2 linked regions of the Drosophila melanogaster genome follow. The protein of the gene in region 1 interacts with the protein of each later gene in a pairwise test. Each region holds a gene or a part of one and is shown on either strand. Other genes may lie near its edges.

Region 1 (15,879 bases):
TGAACATGCCCACCTGGGCCAGCTGGAGCGATTCACCGAACTTGTCCTCGGCACCACGAATCTCATCGTCCTTGGCCTGTCGGCGACGCTTGCAGTCAAAGTCTAGCCGCCGGCCCTGCAGCTTCTTGCGATGATGCATTACCTCCTTGAGGTCTTTGGTCTGCATATGATGCAGTGGCTCCAAAAAGTTCTGCTTGATGTTGTCGTCCAGCGAATACTTGACGTCGGCCATCTGTTTCAGCGCTTCGCCGAATTCGACGAGCGCCTGCGCGAACACGCTGTTGTCCTCGCCGAGCTTCTTCCCATAAGTCAGCATGCATTCCGCGAGCAGGCCCTCCGGTTGCGGATACGTATTGGACTTGGCCTGTCCGGACAGCTTCGAGATGCCCTTGACCGCTGCCATTTTGGCCCGTGCCGTTGGATTCGGCTGCAGGAACTCCTTCGTCTTTAGCTGCAGCTCCTCCACTAGCTCCACGGTGACGTCCGTCTTGCGTTCCATCTCCATGAAGTCCATGTCCAGTTTGGTGCCCTCGGCACCGCCCATCTTCTCCGTCATATACTGGTTGGCCTTGTTGATCTGCTTTTTGAGTCCGGCGAAAGCCATGGCTGCTGCTGTCTCTTCTGGTTTTCTTCCTCTGATTAAATTGGTCTTGGGGCGCTCGACGCAGTTGCTGTGAACGGGTTGGTTGGGTTAGTCGAGACTCGATTTCAAATTCAATGTCAATATCATCAAGTCAACAATTTCATCAATGGACTGGATGGCTGCCTCACTGACTGCCCGACTGCCTGGCTGGCTGGCTGGCTGGCTGAGTGTGTCTATTTTTAAAACGTTTACGTTTGGAAGACTTACGCGTACTGCACTTTTCTCCGTTCCTTCTCCGCTGGGGGTGCTACTTTCCGGGGCTCTTCTGCTCGCTCAGTGGAGGCTGCGAGTCGGGAAACTCGAATTGGCTTGGTGAACTGTAGCCCGAGTTCGAGTTCTACTTTTGCTGACCACTACTGCGGGCACTTTCACTCGCTTCGCTTGCTCTGCACGTTCTGCCCCGTTTTTTTTTTTGTTGCTCTGCTCGTAATCTTCGATTTTTTCCAGAACCTTGGGCTGCGTAATGTTTGAAGGACCGTGAGTCGTTACTACTACTACTGGTCGCGCACAGGGGGCGGGGGCTGTGGGGTCGCGTTTTCCTCTCGGCTCGCAAAAATCAATATCTTGACTGTGTACAACAATTTTCAACGGCACTAAGCCACTGGAGCTGCGGGACTATCGATAATTCTGTTAAAAAACATTCAGTGTGACCGGTGGTTCGTAAAATACCAAAATCATTCGCATACAACAACGGACATACACGGGATACGCTCATCTCTAGGCATATGTTAAAGATGTGAGGTACAACTTAACATTTTCATTTAATTTCTTTGCAGGGGGGTATTAGATAGTTATATATATATATCAAAACAATATTAAAAATTAAAGTAATATATATATTTTATATTAAGAAGCCAGAAGCACATAAACAGTTAACATAATATCTTACATTTAATATCTAATACTTATAATGTTAATGCATTATAAATTTGAATTTGAAATCTATGTTGATTGGCAGAATTATTAGACTAGAATAAATATGGTCGGTCCCACTGTCGGTCTCTGTATTTGCTCTGTCCTTGTACATGCTGTTAATCGAATAGCTGTTAGATTAGAATAACAGTTTGGCGCGTAAAATTCTAACATTACAATACATAAATATATTATATTGATAGAAAACGTACTCAGCAAAAATAAAGCTGTATAACTGCTGATGAATGTTACGCTAAGATAAAAATGGAATGACTCAGAATGGATAAGAAAATATCATGTTTATCCTGTTTACCAAAATAACTGTGCGCAAAATAACCAGTAGCACAGCAGTCAATTTTATCTTTCTAGAAGGTGGCAAATATATCCCAGGCAAAAATTAAACCCCATTTGCATCGTAAAAACCAGTGACGTTCACAGCATGAAGTAGCAATTTTACCACCTTTTTTTTTTTTATATATTCTGGCTCTATCTGAACAGATAACCCCCGAGAGGTACTTAGCACCACCGAACAAACAATGAACATGTAAATCAGTTCAATCGCAGTAGTAATAGTTGAGATATCAGAGATAAGATCTCCCTGCCGTGTTTTTAATGGCGTATAAAAGCCGCAAGCCGTTGTGCTTTTGGCAATTAGTCTAGACGAAACCCAACGACTGAGAACCAAGTGAACTCAGATAAATTAAAAGAAATGAAATTCGCAATTGTTCTACTGGCGGCCAGCATTGCCTGCATCAGTGCACAGGTGAGGAGTTGTGGATATGGGCCCCCCCATTAAGTGGATTATTATGTAACCGAATTATCATAATTTACTCGTAAGGGCCCTGGAGCTACTGTTGGAAATCCCCTTGCCGGAAATCCCTTTGCCGCCGCCAATCCGTATGCGGCTGCCTTTAATCCCTTCCTAAATGGAATTTTCGGAGGTGCTGGCACAGGAGCTGCCGCCGGTGTAGCCGCTCCCGTGGCACCGTCTGCTCCCTTTGGAGGCGCCTCGATTTCCTCATTCTTCCAGTCGATAGTCCTGCAACGCGAAGCCGAGCGTCTGCTCTCCCAGCCTGACTTTCCCGCCGACCTGGCGGAGCGCGTCCTGGATGTGGTGGCCACCTCGGAGGAGTCGATCAGTGGCTGCAACAACGCCACTTTGCCCTGGCTGCAGATACGCTGTGTCAAGCCTCTGCTGACCACGGCCAAGAACCAGCTGAAGGCCATCGATGACGAGTGGCAGGCCCGTTTGGCCGCCACCGCCAGTCCCACAGGAGCAGCTGCTGCCTAGGATTCTAGTCCTGTCCTCCGGCTGCCTTAGTGTCCAATACTTCCTAGCTTAGCAATCGACCAACATAGATGCAATAAAATTTAAATAAGCCTAATGCCGGAATTTCCTATGCTGGTTTAAGGGGTGCAAAGGTGTGTGTGTGTGTGTGTGTGGTAAGGGGGGGAGGGGGGGGGAGGCCAAAGGACTCCTGACCTAGGACATGCTTTGATGTGGCCGGCCGAGCTTTGCATTCCGCTGCTTTATTAAATTTCCCATCGGGAATTACAAATTTTGGCGTTTGCCTTCTTGACGCTTTTCGGGGCGCAAATACTTGGCTGCTCACGTCACCGTCACGAAAATCCTGGTTCGACCTCGACTAAAAGGATGCTTATGCTTTGGAAAGTTAGTGTTGTCATTATGGGGGAAATATGCTAACTTAAGTTCTAAGCAAATAATTTTTATAAATTAATAGTTTTAATATGCTAACTTGCAGGATTAAAAAAGTTACTATAGCTTAGCTTTAAGTAGCTTAATCCAATAATACCAAAATTAAGCTAAATCGTAATATTTCATTAAAAAATATATGCAACTGAAGTGACTTAATTTTCAGTGAAATATATAATGGCCAAGTCGTCATCACTTCGACGCACACTTGAATCGTTTTGGCCATCGCATGGAACTTGACGCATTTTGGTCAAATATTTGTACTGAGTTCCTCTGCTTTGTTTCCCTGACCTCCCTGGCCCAGCTCATTTTGCGGGGTTATGACAGCCCTTTTATGCACTTTTCCATTGGCGCCATCAATTGTTTCCAGTGCATGATTTGCTTCTCAATTGGAGCCCTTTGAGTTGAGGGTCGGGAGTCAGCTCGCTTGAGTTGCGTCCAGTTGCGGCGGCAATGTTGATTTATGTGCCAGTGCAGCTCCAATTATCCAATGTCCTCACTCAAATTGCCGGCCATCCTGCCCTTCGATTCGATGTGAATCGAATCGATTCGATTTGATATGGCTTTTGGATTTGCATTTCAATTCGAATTCCGGGCTTAGGACCTGTGGTTATTAAATGGCTTGGCTTAACGAGCCAAGGACCGGCCACAAATGACCAAATGACCAAATGACGAAGGGGCCATTGGATGTTGGATAAGCCACGAACAATGCCTAAATGGGGGCGAGTTTGAATTCAGATTGAAATATTTAATTAAATGTAAATTTCCAACATACACAACATCCGCCGCTTCACAAGATGGGGAGTGCAAAAGTTTTGGGCCAATTAATAAAAGTATTTCGGTATTGAAATTCGAGTTTGTTCGTCGTCATTACAACAATGCGGGCCAAACTTGGCCAACTTTGGTGTAGTGTTAGCCGCGAACTGATCGACCAACCCTCCGTAACTAAACCTCAACCGAATGAACCGCCTTAAGCTCTGTTTTGGTAATGCAAAAGTTGCGGCATTTGAAATTCAGGCAGCAGCAGCAAAACAAAAAATGGTAATTTCGAGCACAGAATGAAATCCAGCCGCAACTGCCCAACTAAGAGTATATATAAATCCGAAATTGGTTAGAGGAAAAAATTAAAAAACAAAAAAAAAAGAAATAAAAGCAAAATGCGACACATACGAAGGGATTCTACGGAAAGTGCATGTATGGAAATTTGTTTTCGGTTTGCGGCTTTTTTTGTTTTGATGCAAAAGTTGTGTGTGCCCCCCAAAGTAGGCAACAAAATTTCTGCGGCTTTGGACTGTGTCAAAGTTCGTTAGTTCGTTTGTTATTCGACGATATTGTGGGTCGCAAAAATTAGTGCAAAAACTAAATCCGTTCACGACCAAAGTTCCAATCCAATAGTGAATCATCCCACAAACTGAATGGTGTTCATCCGTAGTTTGCTATTAGCACTTGCTACTGTTATTTGATTCCCGAGTGCCACTTCCGCTGATAAAGTTATCTAATTAATCCAGCAAATATACGCTTATGGACCAACATAAAACATAATGGGGTTGAGGCTATCGTTTCGTATTGCACTCAGATAGATGGTGAGATAATGGAGGCTGTAAACTCTATCAAAGCGCAAACAGAAGATAAGTTTGAATGTCTTTCGAGTTTTTCAAATTGTGCTTCAGTCGGTCATTGAAAGTTTCCAGAAAATGTCGAGTGCAGTGCTGATAGCTTTCTGCGTCTTGGTTGTTTTGGTAATTGAAAATAATACTAAACACAAAAAAAAATCTTTAAAAATAATCTATTTTTTCATATATATGCGCTCAATAGACCGGACAATCGGTTGGCCAAAATGTGGCCGTGCAACAGTCAATTGATTGGGCCAATGAACAGTTCAAAATCGCTCAAGTTGTGGCCCAAGGAAAGCTACCCAACAGTGTTGAGGCCCGGAACGATGCCAATGACCAATTGGACACTCTGAAATTGGCTTTATCCCATTGCGAGGCTGAGCTGAAATCCACCCAAGGTGTCGATCTTCACAAGACTTGTGTTAAAGCCGTCTTCGCTGGCTTTTATACTGCCTTGGATCGCTTGGCCGCGGAACACTGGCCCATTTATGGAGCCACCTCTGGTGCCGCCCGAATTGGCTTCTTCTGCTAATTAACGTAATCATCTTACAAAGTTTAACCACATAGAGGAATATTTAGGAATCTCATAGAAGTCTAATATGTTATACAGATTTGGAATATGTTCGGAATAATAAAAAGTTATTAGGGTTGGATGGATTTGTTTTACTATGTTGTATTTCGTGCTTGTGTTTAAGGAATTTTACTTTTGTATAGAGATGTCAAGGTGTGTACTGCCTATGACAGCCATTTATTCTAAACAGAATCACAAAATTTTTTAGTTCGAACCACTTAGTGTACAATGAGTTGGCTGTCAACCATTTTCGGTATTATTTTGATAACACTTTTGTGTACGATATGGATAGCAGCGCATCCGCGATGGGAGCAAATGGCCAAAGCTGTGGCCTCCAAGATGAACTACGACGACCAGCATAGAATCCACACCGCATCTAGGGCAGCCAAAAACGTGGATGCGCAGATCCACGATTTCTACGTCAAGCTGGAGAATCAGAAGAAGGTTGCTGCCCGTGAAGTATTGGATAGTGCATACACTGAAACGACCAAATGCATCGAGGTATTCTACAGTGGTGAGCTGGAGCAAACGTTTAAGGACTGCATCGAGCACGTCACCCGTCTGCACATGGAAAGGCTGAGGTCACTCCTCCAAATTACCACTAAGCGACAGGCGAGCGGAGCAAGCAGACTTAAAATCTGGCACTGATAATACCCTGGAGTCTTCCCAGGATCGCTGGCAGGCAACGAGTCTGTTTTCTTTGCACCCAGTGCTTTCTGATGTACTTTAATTAGACAGTCAACTCGAGACCCGTCAGTGCAGCTTTTCATCTCAATCTGGGTGGGTGTGATTTCGGTGGGAGGGGATGGCATTCTAGTGCTCATTAGGCAAATGAGTGGTGTGGGTTGTGTAGGAGGCTGGAGGCCGTGGGTGGTGGCTGTTTCGTAATTATAATCATTAGACGCGAGACAAAACCCTCACAAAGCAAATAGCGACATTAGCTGCGTGGAAATGTGTGTCAATGAAGATGAATCTGCCCGAGACGCCAGGGAGTTGAACTCTGCGACTGGCATTGTTGATTTTGCAACGCTGGAGGGTCCGCCTTCGTGGAAGTTCAAAATTACGAGAGTTTTGGGTTTGGGGGACTAATGAGAATGCAATGAGTGAGTGGCAAAATGCATGCATATTTCCATTCACAAGTTCAATCATTTGCTGTGATTTAATTGCGTTCGTAGGAGATGTCGCTGAATACTTTGGGTATATGGAAGTCAGCATTGAATGGTGCAGCTTTTTAGAACTTAATGGGTTTAAAATTATAGCTATATATATATAGCTACATATATGTGTACGAGAAATTTGTATAATTAATAGTTTAAACACAAACTAGCCATTGGTAACAAGATTTACAACTTTACAATATTTAATACTATTAGAAATAAGTAAGTTTCAAAACAATTTGCAAACTAACTTTATTTTGTAAAGTTTTAGGAAACTACTTTTTGTTATACTGAGGTTTATTCCATTTTTTTTTTACATTTTTGTATCACTTTACGATATTGCATCACTTTTTTTAAACTTTTCTGTGCCCTTTGCAGGCAATTGCGTTGGTTTTTTTTCACGATTTAAGCCTTTGAATCCGCCTCAGATGTAGTTTCCGTATCGGAAGCGGGTGCATCCGGTTTCGGCTCATCCGTATTGCCAAACACACACATAGGGCACTAAAGGGCGAGAAAGGATTAGTGAATAACATTAGAATGGCTAAAAAGGTATACCTTTTCCTTGAGAACTATGCGGTACTTGGGATGGCTAAGGAAGTTAAGAAACATATAAATTAGATATAGATATCAAACGGAAATTGTTTTTTTTTTAAACCTATTTATTCACTCACCTAATGCCGTACACAATCGGATTGTAGACTGCGCTCGTTTTGGCGAAAGTCGCTCCCCAAATGGTCGTCAGTGGGGTCAATCCGTCGATTTTGAAGAGTCCGAAGTAGCAAATGACAAGGTATGGTGTCCATGCCATAAACCATAGGGAGATGGTAGTTAGAGCCACCTTGGCCAGTTTTCCCTCGGCACTTTTGTCGCAATCCTCAGAGCTCCGCAGGGATTTCACATTCATCTTCTTGGCCTGTTCCCGCATCGCTTTTTCATGTGCTGCCACGGCGGCAATGATGAACCAGTAGGAGTAGCAGATGAGAAACAGTGGAGTGTAGTAAACGAAGAGGGAGTAGGTGATTAAATAAGATCGCGGGTTCCACATACGCGTCATATAGTCAATGCTGCAGGCAGTCAGATTGCCCTCGGGCACATAGGCGCTCCATCCAATCAATGGCATGACAGTCCAAAAGACAGCCATCATCCAGATGAAAAGTATCTTCATTATAGACGTCTTGATGGTCATGGGTGTGCCATTGATACCCTTCACTATCACATTGTACCGATCGAAGGCAATCATGCACATGGACCAGATGGACACACAGCCAAAGAGCGAGCCACATCCCGCGTAGATGTCGCACCACAGCGGACCCAGCACCCAAGTCTCGTAGTAGAAGTTAATAATCATCACCGGCGACTGGGAGGCCATCATACAGAAGTCGGAGAAGGCCAGGTTGAGAACGAGCAAATTTGCCGGCGTGCGCAGCGACTTTGTTCCACCGAAAATGTAGACCACCACTCCGTTGCCGCAGCACGAGATGATCATAATGGCCAGGGTGAACAATCCCAGAATTTTGCTCATCATGGGATCCATGGGCGCAAAGCGGCTCCAGTAGGGGTTCACCAGGTGCGCCATGTCGGGCAGCACCTGCGGGATTGCAAGAAGGCAATAAGTTGAAGTGCCACCACAAAGGATTACAATTAAAACTAGAACTAACATAAATCATTTCCCCCAATCACTCACATTGTCCAGCACGGAACCATTGCCACTCGACTGGGCCTGAAACCTGGGCCCAGAATGGGCCAGGTCGAATGGCGTCTCCGGCAAATGACTGCGCTCCATGCTCAGCTACCCGCAACCCCTTTGACTAGACGATGGCTCATCGAAGTGGATCTGTGCCAAGAGGCCGAATTCCCAGCCCTTTATAGATGTTTGCTAACCCAATTAGCCGCTCATCAAAAGAGGCGCAGAAGACTTATAGACGGCGGACAGCTGCCAGATAAAAGTCAATTTTATTTAATTTCATACGCTACATAATCTAAGCGCAAGGTTAATTTGCCGCCTTTGAATATTAGTTCTTGACACTAAAGGGCAGCCAGAAATTTCTGTCCACATTTCTGGCACAGTTTTCGCTGCACTCCTTGGCTGCAGGATGGCATCGAGGTCTTCGAGTTGGATGGGTCGGTCGACGAGGACATCAGTCCACCGGAGGATCTTATCTCCGTGTTTAGCAGATATATGCCACTGTTGTTATGGCTTGTTTCCGTCAAGTGATTCGCCTTGGCCGAGTCCTGCGGCGCATTATCCTTGCCAGAGTAGTAGAGCTCATCATCATCAGTGCTGGGTAGCTCGTACTTGACAATGTCCACTTTTTGGCTAAGGATGAGCTGCTTGCAGCACTCTTTGATTTGGTAATAGGCGGATCGAAAGTTCTTTAGCTTGTGGGTCTGGATGGATTGCAATTGTTCGACATATACAAGTGGGTTGCTTAATGCTCAAATTAACTCACTGGGGATAGGCTGTCTATAAAGGCCGGCAGTCCATTCTTGCCAAACGAACTCAGAAGAAGTACCTGACAGTGTTTGCCAGCCCTGTTGTCCGCAGCCCAGAGGAGCAGTTCTTTGAACACGGCCTCATCCATTGCCACAACATAATCAAAGTACAGAAAATCATTCACGGTGAACTATAGAAGTAAGAATCTATACATATGTGGAGTTCATAAGTTGGCGCTAGGATAAGTTCACCTGACGACAAAAGTGATCGGATCGCAGTCCGTGCTCTCGCAGAATTTGCAGGCATCGCTTGTTCGGTCGCCGTCCAGTGTTCCATGTCCTCAGACCGGCACTATCCACCTCCCAGTAGAGACTCGTCTTGACCATCAGATTCTGCATAATCACCTCGGCCATCGGAGAGCTGCACGAGTTGCCTTCGAAATGACGTAAGTTTTTCATGCAAAATGGCAAAGAAATTGAAAAGAAAATCTCATTTCTTACCCATGCACACAAATAGTATTTTCTTGAAAGTCATTTTTATTTTTCTCTTTATACGTTTTACTTGGCTAAATTCTCCCACTTTCAACTATAATTTAAACTAATTTTCCTAACTTCTTTTTCGAGACTTATGTTGTATTTGACTGAGTTTTTAAATTGCCTGAAATACATGTCGAACGGAACAAATGACACGGCTTACTGGGTGGACTTCCTTTGCCCATTCAATCTACTGAATGGCCTGCTCCGTTTAGCCCAATGAACTCGACGCCATGGTTGGAGTAAATGACCATTTGCTAAGATAATCATTCCCACTAATGCACTTTTTACACCACTTGCAGTTCTCTCAACCCATTGAGGTCCTTTGTCAGGACAATGCTTGTTCTGTGCTCGTGTGCCACGCCCACAAACCCATTATTCTGCCAGAAAGGGGCGGGTGGCAAGATAGTGTCACGTGGCTGTCAGGTGTTGGCCCACGTACAGTCTTGTCGCGAGATGCATTCGAAATTAGTCAACAGGTTCAGCGAACTTCCAGCAAAGGTAAGGAAAATTGGACGAGAAGAGGGCCAACTCCAGTCATGTATGTTAAATGGGCAGAAGACATGCACTAAACTTAAAGCAGTTTGGCTTTTAAGATGCATGATTATAGTAATACAACACTAAAGTCATAGTCCAATACAAATTTATTAAATATGAAATTTAATCTTTTCGCTACTTCCGAGATTAAAGACAATTTGTTTTTCCGTGTAGTAATGATTGACCCAATCCCTGCTTATACTGATGTCATTTCACGATGACACTTCAGCGCACAATACAGTTGGAATTCATTTTAATTCAGTCTCAATTAAACGACTTCTGTGTGAACTCTCGGATCAATTTTGAACATTTCAGATGGCGAAACACTATGCCAGCATTTTTTTTTTTACTCTTTATTTTTATTTCGATTTACCTTGCCCCTTGTTGAGACGAGTGGAGCGATGGGGTGGTTGGCTTGTAACTTGGCCATTGGCAATATCCAATTGGAATTGCATTGAACGACTAAATTGAAAATGCAGCTGAAAAAGCATATTTCACTTATCACTTTTCACACAAAACACACAAGCAAAGGCCAAAACAAAGGGCACTCTGGCCAAAAGGGGTGGCCGGCCAGTTGGTGCCAGGAAAAGCGGGCCAAATGAAATTGTAAGCGCAAAAGTAAAGCACAACAGCAACATGCAGTACACTTGCAACAGCAACAGCAACAACAACGCCAGCGAAAACAGCAACAAGTCACTCACGAACCGGGTGAGTGGGAAATAATATGTGTGCTCGCATGCAGGATGGCTTGTGGGTGGTTGGGTGGTGGTTGAATGGCCTGGGTGGTGCAAAGCGGGTTAGATGCCGGACAGAAGTGTGGCTCTGGCACTGCATTGTTGTTTTAATTAAAAACAAACCTACCGAGCTGCTGGCCCGACAAAAAAAAAAAACAAAAAAGAAGCTGGCAAAAAAAGTAAAGCCAAAGTGAGCAACCTGAGTGGACAAAAACGAAGGCGGGTGGTGTGTGTGGTCCTACGCTGGTGCCTGAGCGAAAGTGTTGAATATTTGGAGCAAAGCTAAAAAAAAAAAACACAAACACACAAGAAGCAAATTGTGGAAAAAAATCCGAGAAAAATGTAGCAACGAAATAAAGAAAACCCAACGGACACACAACCGGAAATGTGCGACTATCTGCTCATACATATGTAAGTGTGGCCGCTTATGTGTGTTTGCTGCATTGCAACAACATTGGCTAATAGCAACCGTAATGCTGTGGCAGCATTTCGACCAAATTAAGGTATGAGCCACACCTAATGGCACTTTAAATGAAGCAGCCGAGTTGAAAATGCGAATAAAAAATGAAGAACAAATGAAGCTCAGGCCCGACCTGGCTGGCAAATGCATTTTGTTGACCACCGAATGCAATTTACAGCACAACAATCAGAGGTGAGCGCAAAATGTGGCAACTGCCCCCAAAAGAAACTAATAAAACACACAACTTTGTTGGCCCGGGCCGCCCAGGAGCTGCATTAACTGACCAGTGAGTTGGTGTAACATACACACATATATATTGTACATAGGTGCAGTCAGCAACAAAAGGGGCAACAAAGGGAGGCAACCAATGTGCTGCAACAAGAGGTGGTACAAAAACATCAACAGCATCCTCATAGTTTTGGCCACAAAGCATACACAATTAGACATGGAGCCCGAGTAGACAGGTGAAGAGATGTGAGTGGGCCAAGGGGCTGGTTGGATGGATGAAGTGGGTGAAAAGCTGAGTGGGTCGGAAAAGTGCAGCGCGTTTGCGGGCATTTCTCGCTGATTGAGGTTCAGCGTACACACATACATATATACACATACGTATGTATTTCCGGATTTGCTTTTTAAAATTAAATTTGCCGTGAGCACATGTGAATATATGTTTGTAGTCTAGGACTTCATCCTTGCTGCTGCTGAACGGCGCCAGAGGTCCTTTTTCGTTGCTAAACAAACGCCAAACTACAACCACTTTGTATGGGATTTTACTGTGCGTTCAGGTGTGAAAATTAAATTAAATTGTTTGCCCAAAAGGGGCGTGGCACTGTGTTAGCTAATTCCATGCATATGAATGCGGGCACGATAAATATTTATTGTCGCCACAGTCAAAAGAGCTGATTTAAAACTTTACAGTTTCATTTGCACAAAAATTAGGCGTTGAGAAAAAACTCAGAGATTAAACAATGCCACTTTGAGATTACATATACATTGACGTTCAAAGATTACGTACACTGACAGATTAAACTATATTAGTAATTATAAAGAGCTACTATCACATGTAGTGACGAAGCGCAGCTCAAGTGTGCGAATGCCACTGCTATGAATGTATGCATACATGAAAAAATTAAAATTTTCTGTATAACATGTAATTTCTAACAACATTAATTTTTAAAATATTTAAATACATTTTTTTTCCACTTTAAATTATTTGCCCAACGGTCCCGAAGTACTTAACGCAATTTCTCCCCTTCGTGCATTATCTTATCTTTTGAACATTTTTAAACAGATAAATAACAATAATATTGTATTGCCTTCTTTTGGGCCTTTGGTTGATTTTCGGTTGAGAAATGTCTGGGGAAACCCATTAATAAATGCTGCAGACGAGCAACGGAAACTGACCTCAGATAGGCGGATCGAAGGAAACCCAAACGGGCCCGAACTCATTAAAAAGCCAAAGGCAAATATGGCCGAGCGTCTTGGCCATTTCCTTAACCTTAAATTCGACCTCATCAATAGCGACGGCGGCAGCCAGTTGAAAAGTCATCTGACCGAGATTTTTTGTGGCCGATAATGCGGCACGTAGCGGCAATTCAGCAAATGATGCAGGAACTGGAACGGGTACTGGCACGGGAATGGGGCACGTTCATGCGGCAAGTCAATCGTCTGGAGAGGCATCTTCATCTGCGGCGCAGCTCGTAAGTCATTTACCATTTTGAGGTATTTAATGAGCCAAAAACTTTTGGCCGCACATAAATTAAAAGTCGACGGGAAACGGATCCAGGACCCCTACGGATTCGCCAGCGGTCAGGGTCAGGTGTCCGTCCGTCTGACCAGCAATATGGCTCTATTAGCATGCCCATTAAAATTAGACAAATGGTTGCCATTGCCGGTCGCCGTTTCGCATATCCGCAACTTTAGGCCAGTCCGCAGATTTATGGCTATATGAAGGTTCGTTGGCTGGATGGATTTTGGCCGGCCTTTCGCCGCAATCACATTCGCCACTTGAGAGAAATGCGCCGCTGCCGTTGGTTATGATAAATGATTTCGTTGCCCATCAGATGGGCAAATGCATGCATGCGTGTGTGTGTGTGTGTGTGTTCGCGGCACAGTGTGTGTGTGAAGGTCGTTCAAAGTCATCTAGGCGTAATTGGCAAGAGCAGGTAAGGTTCATACTCTATCAAATGCGGTTCCAAAAAAGAATGTAAACTTTAAATTATAAGTTTTGCATAAACTATTTTAAAGAAATAATTGTTGGAACATTATAAATATTTTATTCCTTATTATTAGTATTAATGCCTCAGTTAGAGTAGTATTTATAAATGCAACATTTAAAATATATATATTTAGGATGTACAAATACCTTATACAAATTTGTGAATATTTAAATGTAATATTTAAACTAAATTTCTAAATAAAAATAGTGAATTTTTGACATACAGAGAAACATATTTTTGTTAACTGTTTGCCTGGTTTTAGGTTCTTCTTGCTTTAAAATTTGACACTCCCACTTTAAGGAACCGACACTTTCTCCAATTGAGCTGCCTGAATGGAATGAGATTTTCCGCCTTGATTCCCTTTGCTGGCGCAAGTTCTTTGTGTTTGCCTAAGCGGCTTCCACTTGGCATTTTCTTCTGTACCGGTCCGAACTGGGCCGAAAGTCCTTGGCAAATTTAACCCTTCACTTCATTAAACGTACTTGCCGATACCCCGAGGGCACACAAATCACTTTGGCCGCAGATACAAAGGCTGGCTAGGATTGGATTGGGGTGTGGCCATAGAAATTCGACATATAGCCAAACAAAAGCCTAATCGTGCAGCTGCCACATCTTCTACTTCTCACTGGCCACACCCACAACAGCCCAGAGGAGGAGGAGGAGGCGGAGGAGGAGATCTGTTGAAGCTACCGCCTTTTGGTTGTAATCCATCAACCTGCTTCGGTTTTGATTTGGGGGCCACTGTCGCAACAAATACGGCAAACAACAGAGCAAGAAATTGGCATGGATGGGTGAAAGGGTTTTGGACTTTTTTTTTCGAAGCGGAGATGGTGAAGCCGAAGCTGGTGGATTTGGGAACTGAAGATGAAGTTGTAGGCCTGCCACAATGAGCCCAAAACGTTGCCAGCAAATTGTTTTCCATTCTCTGTTTGCCGGTGCGTGCTGTTCCTACATCCGTTCGGTGTTTTAGGTATTTAAGCATTTAGTCAGTCGGCTGAGCCTCTTTCACTCTAATCTTTCGGTCCATTCAGTTGTCATTTAGTCCACTCTTCTCCTAGGCCAGCCTTTGTGGATGAAGTGAACTTAATGCGGGGCAAATATGACAAATTAAGCCTCCAGGCAAAAGCTGTAGCATACTCTTGTGTGCCCCCCTATATTGTTTCAGATATTAGATGGTTGCTGTTGGCTAACAAAAGTAAAGCAATGAGCTTAATTAATAAAAGACACAGATTTTTTTTTCAAAACAGTGTAAAACTTTAAATTGTATATGACAATAGGAATTTTAAATTGCAATCAATTATGTTGATTTTCGGTGTTTTGTGCATTTTATTCCCATTTTAAATTATTTTTTTAGACTGTTAAAGAGCTTTTCTTTTTTTTTTTGGTTTTTTTATATAATTTTTTTTGGCTCTGCACTGATGGCTAAATCTTTGGTCTTTGAAAATAGCTCAATTAATAAAGTTTCCATTGTGGCTGCTGCCCAATTTTACGAACATCCATGACACTCCGCACTCTATTTCGACCACATCTCTGGTTTCACCCTTGAGTTGTCAATCATTTCGATGATGCGATGCACTGGAGATTGAACCAATTTCCGATTTCCGAGGATTGCAGCTGGTGTGGCCGCTCATCCTCATCCCATTTCTTTATTGTTCCTTTTGATGGCGCGTCAATTTCAATGCCGCACGCACATGACTTGGCCGCAAACTTGGTTACTTGGCCATGACTGTCGGGAGGGCCGCAAAAGCATGGTGGGCATCAGCAGCAGTTGGATAAAGTTTCCTTCACTTTTCGGAACTTGCAACTTTTCTCATTTGTGCGTGTGCATTGGTAAGTTGCACACACCACACTTCTTCAGTTCGCAGCTTGCCTTTGCAGCTTTCAAGTTGGTGTGGCATCCAACTGTCGTGCCGACCCTCGTTTCCCTCTGGCCTCTAATAGGACAAGCACGAAACTAATCCGCAACACGACGACAAGAAAATTGAATTCTCGCAACTGTCAAATTGAATCTGCCTGCGCCTGACCCTCTCCTTGTTGGCAATTGTGGAATCAAAACTTGAACATATTTGGCTAAGAGGGACTAAGCCCAACTGTTCGCCTTTGTTTAAGAAGGTTAAAAAAGTTAAAAAATGTAGAATGGAGCAAAATACTTTTAATTAGAAACAAGCATAGCCACAATGTAATATTAATATTCTATACCAAACGTTTGGTTTAGCATTCACAAAAAAATATTAATTAAATCTCTAAACCAAAAGAAGCTTTTCAAGTGAAGAAACGTTATAAGTAAATGTTGAAAATTGTACATTTCAAATGCGCTCAGCTAGTAAATAAATTGACAGCTGACTTTTCAAAAAT
Region 2 (16,250 bases), 3.8 Mb from region 1:
GATGAAAAGCAACTGAAACTGCAATACGAACGAATTGAAATTGAGCCACCTACTTCCACGAAGGCCATAACCTCAGCCATATTACCAGCTGGCTTCAGTTTCGATCGACAACCGGATCTAGTGGGCCATCCAGGACCCAGTCCCAGCATCATTTTGCAAGCCCTCACAATGTCCAATGCTAACGATGGCATCAATCTGGAGCGACTGGAGACAATTGGAGATTCCTTTCTAAAGTATGCCATTACCACCTACTTGTACATCACCTACGAGAATGTGCACGAGGGAAAACTAAGTCACCTGCGCTCCAAGCAGGTTGCCAATCTCAATCTCTATCGTCTGGGCAGACGTAAGAGACTGGGTGAATATATGATAGCCACTAAATTCGAGCCGCACGACAATTGGCTGCCACCCTGCTACTACGTGCCAAAGGAGCTAGAGAAGGCGCTCATCGAGGCGAAGATCCCCACTCACCATTGGAAGCTGGCCGATCTGCTAGACATTAAGAACCTAAGCAGTGTGCAAATCTGCGAGATGGTTCGCGAAAAAGCCGATGCCCTGGGCTTGGAGCAGAATGGGGGTGCCCAAAATGGACAACTTGACGACTCCAATGATAGCTGCAATGATTTTAGCTGTTTTATTCCCTACAACCTTGTTTCGCAACACAGCATTCCGGATAAGTCTATTGCCGATTGCGTCGAAGCCCTCATTGGAGCCTATCTCATTGAGTGCGGACCCCGAGGGGCTTTACTCTTTATGGCCTGGCTGGGCGTGAGAGTGCTCCCTATCACAAGGCAGTTGGACGGGGGTAACCAGGAGCAACGAATACCCGGTAGCACAAAACCGAATGCCGAAAATGTGGTCACCGTTTACGGTGCATGGCCCACGCCGCGTAGTCCACTGCTGCACTTTGCTCCAAATGCTACGGAGGAGCTGGACCAGTTACTAAGCGGCTTTGAGGAGTTTGAGGAGAGTTTGGGATACAAGTTCCGGGATCGGTCGTACCTGTTGCAAGCCATGACACATGCCAGTTACACGCCCAATCGATTGACGGATTGCTATCAGCGTCTGGAGTTCCTGGGCGATGCTGTTCTAGATTACCTCATTACGCGGCATTTATACGAAGATCCCCGCCAGCATTCTCCAGGCGCATTAACGGATTTGCGGTCAGCACTGGTGAATAATACAATATTCGCCTCCCTGGCTGTTCGCCATGGCTTCCACAAGTTCTTCCGGCACCTCTCGCCGGGCCTTAACGATGTGATTGACCGTTTTGTGCGGATCCAGCAGGAGAATGGACACTGCATCAGTGAGGAGGTGTGTTAAAGGAAAGTCACCAATAATACGACAACTAATTGTAATATTCTTTCTTGCTTTCAGTACTACTTATTGTCCGAGGAGGAGTGCGATGACGCCGAGGACGTTGAGGTGCCCAAGGCATTGGGCGACGTTTTCGAGTCGATCGCAGGTGCCATTTTTCTCGACTCAAACATGTCGCTGGACGTGGTTTGGCACGTATATAGCAACATGATGAGCCCGGAGATCGAGCAGTTCAGCAACTCAGTGCCAAAATCGCCCATTCGGGAGCTCCTCGAGCTGGAGCCGGAAACCGCCAAGTTCGGCAAGCCCGAGAAGCTGGCGGATGGGCGACGGGTGCGCGTTACCGTGGATGTCTTCTGCAAAGGAACCTTCCGTGGCATCGGACGCAACTATCGCATTGCCAAGTGCACGGCGGCCAAATGCGCATTGCGCCAACTCAAAAAGCAGGGCTTGATAGCCAAAAAAGACTAAGAAGTCATCGCTGCAATCGTGTTTCATTAGATTTAATGATTATTTTTTTAGACATAAGAACTTTAATTGTACAAATCTTAAATAGATTGTCTATGGTCGAATAACTGTGCAGAATTTCCTATCTTCTTTTATACCTTGCATTATGAGGTATTATTGCAGAGGAAATCGATGTTGATAAGATAAGAAATCGTCATCAAACGAAAGTCACTGATAAGCTAATCACACCTTAAATGCTTAACCTTTCGCGAACTAAACTCAGTGAAAATTTGCCATTTGATAAGAAATGTCCGCTCCTGTAGAGGGTGTTCCCTATGAGGAGATCCAGACAAAAGAGGTTTGAGATTATCCACGGCCAGCTGGATTGGATGGCATTATAAATTCAACGTGCAATTCCATTGCAGCTTATAGGCACCGGATTCTATGGCAGCGTATACAGGGCGGTCTGGAGAAATCGTGAGATCGCGCTGAAGAGAATTCGCGAGGGATGTGAGGATAAAAAGATTGAAAGAGAGATCTACCAGCTGACAAAGGCCAGCCATGTCAACATAGTTGAGCTCTACGGCACATCGAGGCACGAGGGATGCGCCCTGCTGTTGATGGAATTCGTAGACGGTGGATCTCTGTCCAGTTTTCTGCACGCGAAAAGCAAGCCAAGTTATTCGCATGCCCACGCCTTCAACTGGGCGCATCAGATCGCTCAGGTATGGTATGAATGGTATCATCACCATAGTAGATAGTAGAAGCAAAGACACTAGAATAATGCAAAACAAGAAATTCTTACATGGTGCCAATTGATCCAAAATAATATAGATATTTTGACAAATTTACAATGCATGAGCATACATGAACATACGTGTGCACACATGCAGTGGTCGGCTGTCACTGTATGCGTAGAAAAGAGCTGTTCGCTGTAGAGCTCTCCGCTCTCTCGCTCTTGAATAAAAATGAGAGAGAGAGAGCCTTAGGCAACCTCCTCTAGAGCCACGCCAAAAAAATTGTTACGCATCTTGTTATTCTAGTGTCTTTGGTAGAAGCGTGGTAGCTATTGTGCCCAATAATACGGACGGTTTCATAGGGCATAGCCTATCTGCATGGCATGCAGCCGAAAGCAGTAATTCATCGCGATATAAAGCCACTCAATACACTGCTATGCGAGAAGGGACTCAAACTGAAGATTTGCGATTTCGGAACTGTTGTGGACCTATCCCAATCGATATCGTGCAATGCGGGCACCTGCAGATACAAAGCGCCCGAGGTAAGGGAGTTGTTTGATTTCAAATCCAATCGAATAATAATCAACCAACCAACCGGCTTTCAAAAGGTTCTACAAGGAAATAAACCCGATGAAAAGTGCGATGTGTATAGTTGGGCTATTACCTTTTGGGAAATATTGTCGCGCAAGGAGCCATTTGAGCAATATAATACGCTTTTTGAACTGTACATGGCTATTAATGAAGGCAAGAGATTATCTCTCGATATTATTATTATTATTATTATGTAATAAACTTATGATTTCAGGCGAGAGACCGGATTTAAGTTGCATTATGTCTGGCTGCCCCGCGGATATAGTTGCTCTTTTGTACGCTTCTTGGGATCCGGATATCAGCAAAAGATTTTCTATGGAACTGATTTCCCAAAGCATGGGTAGAATCCTAAGTGAGGCGGGATCCATTCCACCACTGGATTTTTACTCATAAAACTAATTCTCCACCCTTTACATTCGTTATTAAAAACGGATATCGTTGTGAACGTTAAACACTATTTTATTTTCTTGAAAACTCTCCTGAAGTATTTACATTGTACGGGATGCTGTACGGGTTATGCGGATAGGTTGGGTGGGTGGTTGGTATGTGGGCTAGATGCCTTTTGGGTTTTGGAGCGCCAAATATTCAATTCAAGGCTATATCCAGTGAACTGCAGAATAATTTGTGGAAGTACATAGTTTGTTATTTTCGTTAGATGCGGGTATAGGTATTAGGTATTCGGTAATGCATATAGGGAATTTATAAAATATGATCTAGGCATATGTTTTACAGTATATGGATCACTAGCAATACGTTTGTTACTGATAATGTTACTTAATCTGGTGATGTTTTGTTTTTGTCGTTTTTCTTCTATCGAATGTAAATTTAAAAAATTAAATTTTAAAACGCTTTTAATAAATATATTCATATGTGTTTGTATATATATTTTGCTTGCTTGTTAAAACAAAATGATCCTCGCTCATGTGTTGGTTAGTTACACAATGGAAAACTGTAACGTTTCGTAGAGTTTCGTTTTTTTGGAGTATAATTGTTTCGTTAGTTATAGGTTGCTTCTTACTTATTCCCTTTTGTTTTGTTTTTTAATTGCATTAATTGTTACATACTTTAAACTTATATATATATAACTATATATATATATATATATATATATAAACATGCGTGTATGTAAGCATAGTTTAATTAATTCAATTGGTTTTGGTATAATTGTCGTCTTTATACTCGCTATAATTGTTTTTGTTTCGTCTTTTTTTCACCGCACGTTCCTGCCTACGATTTGTTCAATGTCTTCATATATATATGGATATATGGATGTTCAAGCATATATATTCCCTTTGTATTGTTGTAATTTAGGTCGCATTTAATTTTGGTTGCATTTGCTTCGCTTCATTTCGGCGTTGAATCAAAATCTTCTCATTAAAAACGAAAACGAACGAAACATAATTATGTTCTGATTGCGAGATGTGATGGACGAATTCGAATGATTTGCTAATAAACTAACAAATCCAGAGATAACGTTGAATTATGAAAAAGGATGGCTTAGTTATAGTTGTTGCGATATCGCCAATACTCATACCTTATGCTGGTTTACAACTTAAACAAACTTATCGTATATGGAAAAAATTAAAAAAAAAAGAAAAAAATATATGTTCTTAAATTGTTAACAAAAGGTGTCAAAAACGTTTTTATTGCTGTCAGTTGCGTGTGATATGTTTTCGGTTGTGGTAAGAACACAGGTATCAATAAATTATTACAAAATAGGAGTTTACAAACGAGTGATTATACTTAAAAGTCGGCTTGGCTTAAAACATATAACTGAACGGCTCGGGGACATTAGTACAAGTACAAGCTGAGTACTGGACTGGTTTGGTAAAACTATTTTACAAAAGGTAAAAGAGCAACACATATATTCGAGTACATTTGGTGTTGTGTATCGCGCAAAACACTGGGACAAACACATAATTTATAATATTCGAAACGGATATACATATGGAGCACAAATGGAGAACAAATATTTTGAAAGCGTAATCGGCATGAAACGTTGACAATGACGATGTGGCTGACATTGTGGCTTTATATGTCGTGGTTACACCTATTCCCTCGATTACGTTCATATACAAATTCTAATTTGGATTCTGCTCACGATTAGGATTGAGATACATGGGGAGTACATTGCTATGTATAATGTAGCTGAGTACGAGTATGAGTACAATATTGTAAGAGGTCTAATTTCAACTGGCACCTGCTCTCAGTTTTCTACGGAAAAGCAAGCTCTAAAAGTTGCCTACAATGCTGGGGAACTCATGTGGCATGCAGTTGTATATATGTAGGGGTTTTTGGTTAATGCGATTAACTTTCAGAATTCCTAGACGTACATACATGTGACTGACTGACTGACTGACTACATGATAGATGTGGGTCGTGTGTTTGTGGCTTGTCTACGATTACCTTTCGAAACGAACGAACACAAAATCAACTCATTGGGTGTAACGTCATCTAAACAAATGCCGAGTACTATAAGATGGTGGGTGGGGGGTGGTTTATAAGATGGCTACGGATTTTTGGTTTGAAATGGTCATGATATACACAATCATAATTGTAACACATTCGCTTAGCTGCAAATTGCTTCTGTTCTTGAGTCTGATTTAAATCGAAATCTATGTGTGTCTGTGTGTGTTGTTGGTTGGTTGCTATATACTTATTCTACAGAACGACGTCAGGCAGGTCGTGCGGCCTTGCCTAGGCGCGCATTTGGTTTTCATGTACGATTTTCCTTTCCTTATAGTAGATCTCCTCCGACTCCTTGTCGCAGAGCAGCAGGACAACGGCCCCAAATAGAAAGATGGCCGCACCCCAGCCGACGCCATAGGCCCAGCCAAATTCCCAGACTCGTCGATTGGCTATAACATTAAATGGAATACAAGTCAGTGGAAAGAAGTTCAACATCAAGGTTTCAGGCTACCATACCCATGGTTAGTTCGCCGGCAAAGCATACTGGATATACGATCAAGGCGGACAATACGGCCAGCACTGCGAAAAAGTTATATTTAACATGTGATTCTGACATAAGTTCAGCTAGTTACTCACAGGATACAAGCATCACCAATACTGCTATACGATAGAACTTATACTTTAGATTATGATTCTGCGTCCGGAGGCCCAGACCTGTCAGTACTGTGGCAATGACGTCCGTTATCAGCGTGATGATGCACAGAGCGGCTGTGGCCTTAATGTAGCCTAAGGGACATTATACGAATTATATGTTAAATTCGAGCTTAAGATTGCTGTTTCTTCATGCAATACATACCGACATCGCGGGTCCAGTAGCATCCTGGCGGATCCTGGATATTGAATGGCAGCGGCGGCACCGAATCATCCTCGATGCAGTGCACAAAGAGACCTTGCCGCCAGTCTGAGGCCATTAACCAATCTGTGGACGCCAGAGCCATAATCATGAGGGCCACCACGATGACGCCGCAGATAAATGCAATCACCTGTGAGGGCAGAGAAATCAGTCGGTGCAATCTGTAAACGTTTCCGAAACTTTAGGCCAAATGCATACCTTCAGCGGCCTCGTGATTGTGATGGTCTCAATCGTCGTGGTCGGCGCCATTTTCTCCGCTGGTGGACGTAGAACACTGCGCGCATGATAATTGTGATTAATTGCGGGGGTAGGGGTATTTTTACCGGCTTATTAGGCCAGCCAAACTCACCTTATCGACTATGTATATGCAGGCAATGTGCTGCCCGCAGCTACTAATTGGAATGCGTTTCAATGCGTTTCTTGGTTAGTTTTGCTTAGTGGGATGTTGGAAGGGTTTCTTTTCTTTTCTTTTTGTTTTTTTTTACTTTTTTGGGGCAGGCAAGTAAATGCTACGCCGGTTGGCTTTAACAATCTAATATAAATGCTTCAATTGGCGTTTTATTGCTTTTGGTTTGCGCGCTAAGGTTTATCCAATGCGTTTTCAATTTCAAATTGCTGGCGGAAGCAGCCCGTTCAACATCTGTATTGTCAAAGAGGGGGGATTTGTTTGTTAGCGGGACGGGAAATAGAGAAATTGGTGACATTCGATTAGACCGACTGGCGCACATGGTTTGTACAACATGATTGTTTACATCAAGACAGTTAAGTAAGCAGCAGCAACATGCAAAAACAACTCGAGCAACAATATCGACAAAGACAATGGCTAACTATTATGGGGTTTATTCCAATCGAACTGCATCAACGCGACAATTAAAACTACGGTAGTGCTCAAATTTTTAGGTTTTTAACTATTATCATTCTATTATCATGTGTAATGAACAACAACTATTGAACTTTAGATTTAGCATTGATATGCAAAAAAAATAGGATCAGAATTTGGTTGAGAGCAGAATAAACTTTAGCTATACTATTTTGACCAGAATTGTAGACATCAATGTAGTATGTATGTTTTGTATTAACTGACGCAATTTACAAAACAATGCGTTGGTACAGTTGAATGAGTTTGGGATTGTTTAAATTGAAATCGCTCTATTGTGCCAGACAAAAACGCGACGGAATATTTCAGTCATCATTGGGGGGCGTATTTTGGCTCAATGACAAAAGACGGAAGCTGGGGTGATGAGGTGCAGTCCCCACATAAATTATGCTGCAAGGCGGACTGCAACTAAGCATTTTGAATGCTGGAAATACCGACATGCTAATTATCCATTCGCATTCCATTGTTATACCCTAACTGAGAGTACAATAGAATAGGTCAGACTTGTGACAATTTATGTACGTTTGTAAAAAAAATATCAGCATCTTGAAATGAAATTTTGAACAAATATTATAAAACAGAGTCTTCTTATTATCGATCTTGCTCAATAGTTGCTAACAAATAGGAAGTGTATCAAAATTTCGTTAAAACTGCATATTATGCCTAATTCGCACGATTCCCTGCCAATTTTAATATCTTCAGATACGCAAACAAAGATGCATATGTTTGTGTAAGTAGATGTTGCGTCTAATGTATCTCAAGATATTTCGACGGGCTAGACGGAGATAAATATAGTTTTACATATAGCGGCTAGAAATGTGGAATAAAAACAAAAACACATTTCGCAGATGAGCGAGTACCGACTTTGTGTGTGTGAGTGTGTGTGTGTGAATGAGTGGCATGGCAACAGGATCATAACGGTTAATTGCTATATAGAACGTAACGGTAACGGCAGGCAAAATTGGGGCAAACGGCCAAATGCAAAACAACAACAATGGCAAGGGCGAGGGAATTCGTATACACGTATGTTTATATATGTGTGTGTGTGTGTTGTGTGCTATGCGGAAGAACGGAAGCAAAACAAAATGCGATCTGTTTGAGTTCAGGAATATACCTTTCCTTGTAATAGTCCAGGGTTACCGATTCGGAATCAAATTCTGAATAATCTGGCAGCGATTCGGCATCAAAGGAGCTCATTCCGCTGAGCGTGTAATTGGGCAAGACGTTCATTTTGTTGTTGTAGCCAACAAGGTTACCCTGCTGCTGTTGTTGTTGCTGCTGCTGGTACTGCTGATGCATAGTTGTTGCTGTTTTTTCTACGTTTATTTTACTATATTTGCCTTATTTAACAATATGGCACACGCACACACACTCACGCCCAGGAGAAACTGGCTGCTATATTTTTTCTCTATTCTCTTTTCGCTGCCTTTTCACACTCTCGCCGTCTGCTTTGCACTTTCGCAAAAATATGCGTCGGTTTTGGGTTCAACCTGTATGCACTTACACTCTGCTTGAAAAGCTCTGTCGCTTTTCCACTTTCACATGTTCCTCGACCACTGACTTTTCTATATAATCAAAAAATAAAAACGACGAAAATAATAATGTTTTGCTTCCCTCATAGAGCTGGAACTTAAATCGATGTTGTCTCGATACTATCGTTTTGGCTGGGCATTTCTCGATAGCGATAAAGTGCCATGGAACTATCAGTTAATTTACATTTACCGTCAAATTATTTAATTTAACGAAGAAAGGAAATTAAAATAGCTTACATTTCGGATGTTTAAACTTTTATCAAAGCGGGGGCTGTGCTTTATAAAAATTTCCTAACAGTGAGGGAGAGACACTATCTGTCACATGTTATATCGGGCATGTAAACAACGCAATCTGATAATATATATATATTGCTGTATTAAGACCAACCAGAGTAGAGTAAAAATTAAGAAATCAGTACGTTTAATTATTTTATTGTAAGACTTAAGGTCAAAAGAGTTGTTGGAATGCAAAATGCAAACTTTGAAGTTTTAATTAACACGGAATTCAAACAAATAATCAATTATTATAAAGATATTTTTAAGTGAATAAAATTTTAATTATTGCTTAAGCATATTAATCACTGTGCTTGGCGCTTTTGTAACGGTTTTACGATGTATATCGCAATGACCACTTCCACTGACACGAAAAATAACGAAATCAGTGTGACCGTTTTCCACCGTACGAGAACGTAAGAAATCGGCGTCGCGTGGCTTGGACAGAGATTATCGAACAAAACAAAATCCGACTACAGAATCTTTTAACTTCGTTTACCCTTAAGAGTCCGCGGTGGATCCGAGGAATCGATGGCTACGGACACGGTGTCCAACGGCGAGAACTTCGCCCAGCACTTGAGCAGAAACAGCGACGACGACGTGATCTGTCCCACATGCGACGTGAAGATCAAGCGCAGTCAGGTGGCCGATCACTGCCAAGTGGAGATGGAGCGATTGCACAATCCCATTAGCGCTGTCACTCCACCGACCCCAACTAGCGGAGCAACCGCGTCCGAGGAATCCGGTTCGGTATCGGGGGGCAGACAACCGTGGAGCGTGTTCCAGCGGGTGCAGCGCAATCGGCAGGCCCGTCAGCGCCAGCGCACCAGGAAGCGTCCGGCTTCTCCTGCCCCACCAGCAACTGTAAATCCTACGGTAGCAGCTGCTCCTCCTCCAGCTGCAGCAACTCCGTCCGTAGCTGCTGCCGAATCGAGCCAACCCACCTGTCCCGTGTGCAACCACAACTTTCCGCAGTCCAACATCCAAGAGCATGTTAATCATTGCCTGCGCCAGAGCCGCCGCAATGGTCAGGCCAATGGTGAGCGGCATTCGAGTGAGGACTCGGAGGACAGCGAGGAATATGAAGAGTACGAGTGGGCGGGACAGAAGCGCATTCGCGTCTCCACTCTCGTGCAAGGAGGCTATTCCGCCCTGGGCCTGGGCCAGAGAATCAAATACAATGGCAGTCAGCAGGCGCAGGACGACGAGGACGAAGATCTCAACGTGGACGAGGATGACACTCACATCTATGGTCCTACGCAGTATGGCGAGGGCGATGTGATCCCACTGGTCAACGAGGACACAGAGGGAAATGTTTCCGAGGCGGATGTTACCAGCTACGTGCGCCGACTTATCTCCTCCAGCGATGGGCCCAAGCCAAACCATTCCAGCGAAGCCACCGAGCAAGAGCCTGCCAGCACAAGCAACGTGGAGGCTCCACCAGCCAGCGAGGAGCCGTCTACGTCGCGGTCCACGCGATCCACCTCCCAAAACCAGCAGCAGATCATCGAATCGCTGAAGGCCAAGCTGCGGCTCTACGAAAAGCAGGCGCAGGGCAAGTACAAGTGCCTGATCTGCATCGACGACTACAAGAATCCCGCCATCTCCGTGTCCTGCTGGCACGTCCACTGCGAGCAGTGTTGGTTGCAGACGCTCGGCGCGCGAAAGCTGTGCCCGCAGTGCAACTCGATTACCACGCCGAAGGACCTGCGACGAATCTACCTGTAGACGTCCATCACAGACTTGTTATCCCCGCTGCCAAATTGCTTGCGCCATAAAACAGGCTTTGCATCCCGACGCAGCTTTAGATGATAATCCCCTATACATATTATTTATATAGATTACAAATACCAATTATACTACGTGACATTACAATAAGCCTACCATGTAACTATTGCAATAAACCGCAGAAAACATAATTAATATTTAAGTTTATTTAACGAAATTAGCATGTAGGAAGGGAAAAGCGTTTAAAGACATGCAAACAAGTTATTTTAAATACCTTATTTTGAACTAAAATAAAAAAGCAATCAATCCAATATTATATCCAATATTATTTTCGAATCACAAAAATGATAAATTATTCCACTATAATTTACAAATGTTTCATTTTAAGTAATAAATAAATATTTTTTACTGTGTACCGGTTTGTTTTCATGTTCAGTTATCGATAATATAATGTTTGCGTTAGTGATGAGCAAGTTTTGCCTGGTAGCGGTTCCTCACGCGCTCATCTCTATATCACATTGCTTGGTTTTCTGTTTAATTTTTCCACAATGTCCGGCTCCGGTGGGATTTAATTGGAAAAAGGAGTATTTGATCTGTACGCTAATCCTGTCTTCCTTGCAGGCGCCAATCCCTTTGCCCAGTTCCAGGAGTCATTCACCCAGGACGGCAACGTCTACAAGTATTTTGATCTGCCCTCCATCGACAGCAAATATGGTTGGTAATCGTTATTGTTGTTCGTTATCATTATTGTTGTTATCTTTATGAATATTATTAACCCCCCACAGAGTCACTGCCCTTTTCCATTCGCGTTCTGCTGGAATCAGCGGTGCGCAACTGTGACAACTTTCATGTGCTGGAGAAGGATGTGCAGAGCATCCTGGGATGGACTCCATCGCTGAAGCAGGAAACCAGCGATGTGGAAGTCTCCTTCAAGCCAGCTCGTGTTATATTGCAGGTGTGGATTATTGCATCACATAGATTATGTTTGTATGTGACTTCTTAAGATATTCCCTGCTTTCAGGACTTTACTGGCGTTCCCGCCGTCGTGGATTTTGCTGCCATGCGGGATGCTGTCCGCGAGCTGGGCGGCAATCCTGAGAAAATCAATCCCATCTGCCCTGCCGACCTGGTCATCGACCATTCCGTTCAGGTGGATTTCGTTCGCTCCTCGGACGCATTGACCAAGAACGAGTCACTAGAGTTCCAGCGCAACAAGGAACGATTCACCTTCCTCAAATGGGGAGCTCGCGCTTTTGACAATATGCTAATTGTGCCACCCGGCTCTGGCATTGTGCACCAGGTTAACCTGGAGTATCTGGCCCGAGTGGTTTTCGAAAGCGACAGTTCAGCGGACGGATCTAAGATCCTTTATCCGGATAGCGTTGTGGGCACTGACTCCCACACTACAATGATCAATGGATTAGGTGTTCTCGGCTGGGGTGTTGGCGGTATCGAGGCGGAGGCCGTAATGTTGGGCCAGTCCATTTCCATGCTGTTGCCAGAGGTGATTGGCTACAGGCTGGAGGGCAAACTGGGCCCTCTGGCCACATCCACCGATCTGGTGCTGACCATTACCAAGCATTTGCGTCAGCTTGGTGTCGTCGGCAAGTTCGTGGAGTTTTACGGCCCCGGAGTGGCAGAGCTCAGCATCGCGGATCGCGCCACCATCAGCAACATGTGTCCGGAATATGGAGCCACTGTGGGTTACTTCCCAATCGATGAAAACACGCTGAGTTACATGCGCCAAACCAGTGAGTCAATCTTAAAAATTATCTAAATTTATTACTTGATATCCATGGATGTGGATCATTAGATCGCTCCGAGAAGAAAATCGATATTATCCGGAAGTATTTGAAGGCCACTCGACAACTTCGTGACTATTCCCTTGTGGATCAGGATCCCCAATACACGGAGGTAAGTGAGATTCTGTTTTTCCAATGCAAAGACATACTAACGAATCACTTTTTTACCCTGCAGTCTGTAACTTTGGACTTATCCACCGTGGTGACCTCGGTTTCGGGGCCCAAGCGACCGCACGATCGCGTTTCAGTTTCCAGCATGTGCGAAGACTTCAAGTCGTGCCTCATAAGTCCTGTCGGCTTCAAGGGATTCGCCATACCACCGAGTGCATTGGCTGCAAGTGGTGAATTCCAATGGGACGATGGGAAGAGCTATAAGATAGGTCATGGATCTGTTGTGATTGCCGCCATCACCTCGTGCACGAACACTTCGAATCCCTCGGTGATGTTGGGCGCTGGTCTGCTGGCCAAGAATGCCGTGCAGAAGGGCTTGAGTATTTTGCCGTATATCAAGACCTCATTGTCACCAGGATCTGGCGTGGTTACCTACTATCTGAGGGAATCCGGTGTGATTCCCTATCTGGAGCAGCTGGGCTTCGACATTGTGGGCTATGGCTGTATGACCTGCATTGGCAACTCGGGCCCGCTCGATGAGAACGTAGTGAACACCATCGAGAAGAACGGACTGGTTTGCTGTGGCGTCCTGTCGGGCAATCGCAATTTCGAGGGTCGCATCCATCCCAATACTAGGGCCAATTATCTGGCCAGTCCGCTGCTGGTGATTGCCTACGCGATTGCCGGCCGTGTGGATATTGATTTCGAGATCGAACCGCTGGGCGTGGATTCCAACGGCAAGGAGGTGTTCCTGCGCGATATCTGGCCAACGCGCAGTGAGATTCAGGAGGTAGAGCATAAGCACGTCATTCCCGCCATGTTCCAGGAGGTGTACAGTGAGTATAGCTAGCTGACTAAGATTTTTCCGCAGCTCTAGGCTAACTGTGTCCGCTATCACAGGCAAAATTCAACTGGGATCCAGGGACTGGCAAACGTTGGAGGTGTCGGATAGCAAGTTGTATCCATGGAGTGAAATATCAACATACATCAAACTACCACCGTTCTTCGAGGGTATGACTCGTGCGCTGCCCAAACTTAAAGGTATCGAGAAGGCTCGCTGTCTGCTGCTTCTCGGTGATTCAGTGACCACCGATCATATCTCGCCAGCCGGATCCATTGCACGAAAGTCACCGGCAGCGCGCTATTTGTCGGAAAGGGGTCTAACGCCGCGCGACTTTAATTCGTATGGATCCAGACGTGGCAATGATGCGGTGATGGCACGCGGAACCTTTGCCAACATCCGTCTGGTCAATAAACTGGCATCCAAGACGGGACCCAGCACACTGCACGTGCCCAGTGGCGAGGAGATGGACATCTTCGATGCGGCGGAACGGTATGCGAGCGAAGGAACACCTTTGGTTCTGGTCGTAGGCAAGGACTACGGCAGTGGCAGCTCACGTGATTGGGCCGCCAAGGGGCCATTTCTGCTGGGCATCAAGGCGGTGATTGCTGAATCGTACGAGCGCATTCACCGCTCAAATCTGGTGGGCATGGGCATCATTCCGCTGCAGTTCTTGCCTGGCCAGAGCGCCGATACCCTGAAACTGAGTGGCAGGGAGGTGTACAACATTGTCCTGCCCGAGGGCGAACTGAAGCCGGGCCAGAGGATTCAGGTCGATGCTGATGGCAATGTCTTTGAGACCACGTTGCGTTTCGACACCGAGGTGGACATAACGTACTACAAGAATGGCGGCATTTTGAACTATATGATACGCAAAATGCTGGATTAGTTAGTGCGTTCGTTGACTTTTATATTCCATATGCATTTCTAGGCGACTTTTAATTGTTATTATGTGCTGGGAAATAAAATTTGACATTCATCTGTGAGATGATAATTATTAAAAAAAAAATATTTCAAATATTTTATAATATTTTAAATTGCGCGCTCTGGATGTTATCGATAGCAGAAATGCCGATGGCCAAACCAGTCCTGCTAAAAATGCCTAACGCCTGCTGGTGAATCATCGACAAGGCAGCAATAAAATCGAATAGTCCCTGTTATATCGCTGTTAACTTAACATAGTTCGCTGCTTCTTTTTTTGTCCGTCCCGTGGACTTTTCTCCAGAGGATTTTGATTCCAATTCGCAAAAGAAAAACATAAATAAGCAACAGATCGTGTGTTGGCCAATAGCTCTGCAGCCAGTGCTCGATATTCACTTGGAAGAACCGCGCAAAAACGCAACAACGCAGCAGGAAAGTCGCGCCTCCGCCTCCCCACCAAAAAAAAAAAACACAAAAAAAAAGAAAAGATCTCGGATCGCACAGGGTTTTATTTTGGGCAACCGCACTTGGACTGGTGGGTGCTTCGGTTCCCTCGACCTGTGGATAGTGCCCAGTGGCGTCGCGTCGCTTTGGATTATGTCATTTGTTTATGGGGAATTGCCGCAGGCCCAGTAGCCAATGTTGCATCCGAAAGAGGCAGCGAAAACCTGTAAAAATGTAGACTGTGTGCGTGTGTGTGTGGGCCAGTGCTAGTGTGTGTCCGTGTGCCGTGTGTGTCCACGTGTGTTTGTGTGTGCGGATAATGGACGTTTAGTTTTTGGTCGAATCCGCAAGATATATAGTGAAATAGGTATAGGCTAGAGATCCCAGGGAGCGGTAGCCATACATATATGTGCACAGCCACCGCTACCCGATGGCCACGTTTAATCCTGGCGCCAGCAGCAGTGCCGCCGACGTTCTGAGCGCCACCACAGCAACGGCTACTTTTCTGGTGCCCACCACTGCGGCAGTATCGCATCCTGGTGCCCATACCGCCCATCTGCAGCTGGATCAATTCGGAGGCTTCTCCGCGGCGACGGCCACTCCCCTGCAGCACCATCACCATCAGCAGACCAACTCGTCGTACACTTTTGTGCAGATCAAGAGGGAACCCTGCCAGGTGTCCGAAATAAGCTCGAACAATTGCCACCAGCAACAGCAGCAACATCACCAACACCACCAGCACCAGGTGCAGCATCAGGGCCTGTCTTCCGCCTCGATGACCGCCTCCTCCAAGACCATGTCCTCCTCCACACTGACCACTCTCGTCAAAATAGAGGCTCCCTCGCCAAAGGTATCGGAATTGGAAAAGTCCACAGGTAGGTGACACCCAGCCACTGGTCAAGAGCACTCCTCATCGGTTAATTACGATTCTATCAGGCAACTCCGTTCCCATTGGCATCGCCGTGGCCAGGAAACGCCCGCAAGAAGCTCTGGTGCCGGCTATCAACACCCCCGCTACGCTGCCGCTGCAGCCACCACTCAACAAGGACTTGAACTGCTTCGGCATACGCGTCGCTGACCTCGGTGAGTGCCAAGCTACACAGAGAGAAATGCAGCTTCATCTCATGGAAATAATAAGTTCTTAGTGATATTCAAGGGGATGTAAACTGTTTTAAGGTATCTGCTATCTTTGAGATACCAAATGATTTACTTAAAGAATCATTAGATATTTCTAGATGCTGTTTTCCATTTGTGTTAAATGATATGTAAATTTAAGACAATCACTGTCTTGTGCCATACATTTTTTC

Evidence for each region.
Region 2: the proteins of CG14297 (region 1) and RNF220 interact in a two-hybrid assay, tested with the Drosophila melanogaster proteins (one large-scale study listed by BioGRID).

The regions. Positions count from the first base shown.
Region 1 is NT_033777.3:18,891,992-18,907,870, reverse strand, and holds CG14297 (uncharacterized protein), read right to left. Parts: upstream 9,751-15,879; 5' UTR 9,579-9,750; coding exon 9,545-9,578; intron 9,478-9,544; coding exon 9,296-9,477; intron 9,235-9,295; coding exon 9,061-9,234; intron 8,999-9,060; coding exon 8,636-8,998; 3' UTR 8,529-8,635; downstream 1-8,528. Other genes in the region: EndoA (endophilin A), read right to left, coding at 1-604; CG14292 (uncharacterized protein), read left to right, coding at 2,265-2,318, 2,394-2,846; CG34284 (uncharacterized protein), read left to right, coding at 4,964-5,008, 5,085-5,414; CG14294 (uncharacterized protein), read left to right, coding at 5,682-6,101; Rh2 (rhodopsin 2), read right to left, coding at 7,016-7,111, 7,166-7,199, 7,282-8,198, 8,295-8,393.
Region 2 is NT_033777.3:22,719,647-22,735,896, reverse strand, and holds RNF220 (ring finger protein 220), read left to right. Parts: upstream 1-9,482; 5' UTR 9,483-9,627; coding exon 9,628-10,824; 3' UTR 10,825-11,013; downstream 11,014-16,250. Other genes in the region: Dcr-1 (Dicer-1), read left to right, coding at 1-1,314, 1,378-1,788; Takl2 (Tak1-like 2), read left to right, coding at 2,072-2,122, 2,190-2,489, 2,864-3,043, 3,110-3,245, 3,307-3,485; CG45049 (uncharacterized protein), read right to left, coding at 5,790-5,950, 6,018-6,080, 6,138-6,287, 6,358-6,544, 6,613-6,688, 8,406-8,590; Irp-1A (iron regulatory protein 1A), read left to right, coding at 11,373-11,385, 11,446-11,538, 11,610-11,779, 11,846-12,575, 12,638-12,738, 12,802-13,573, 13,638-14,467; wge (winged eye), read left to right, coding at 15,374-15,818, 15,880-16,026.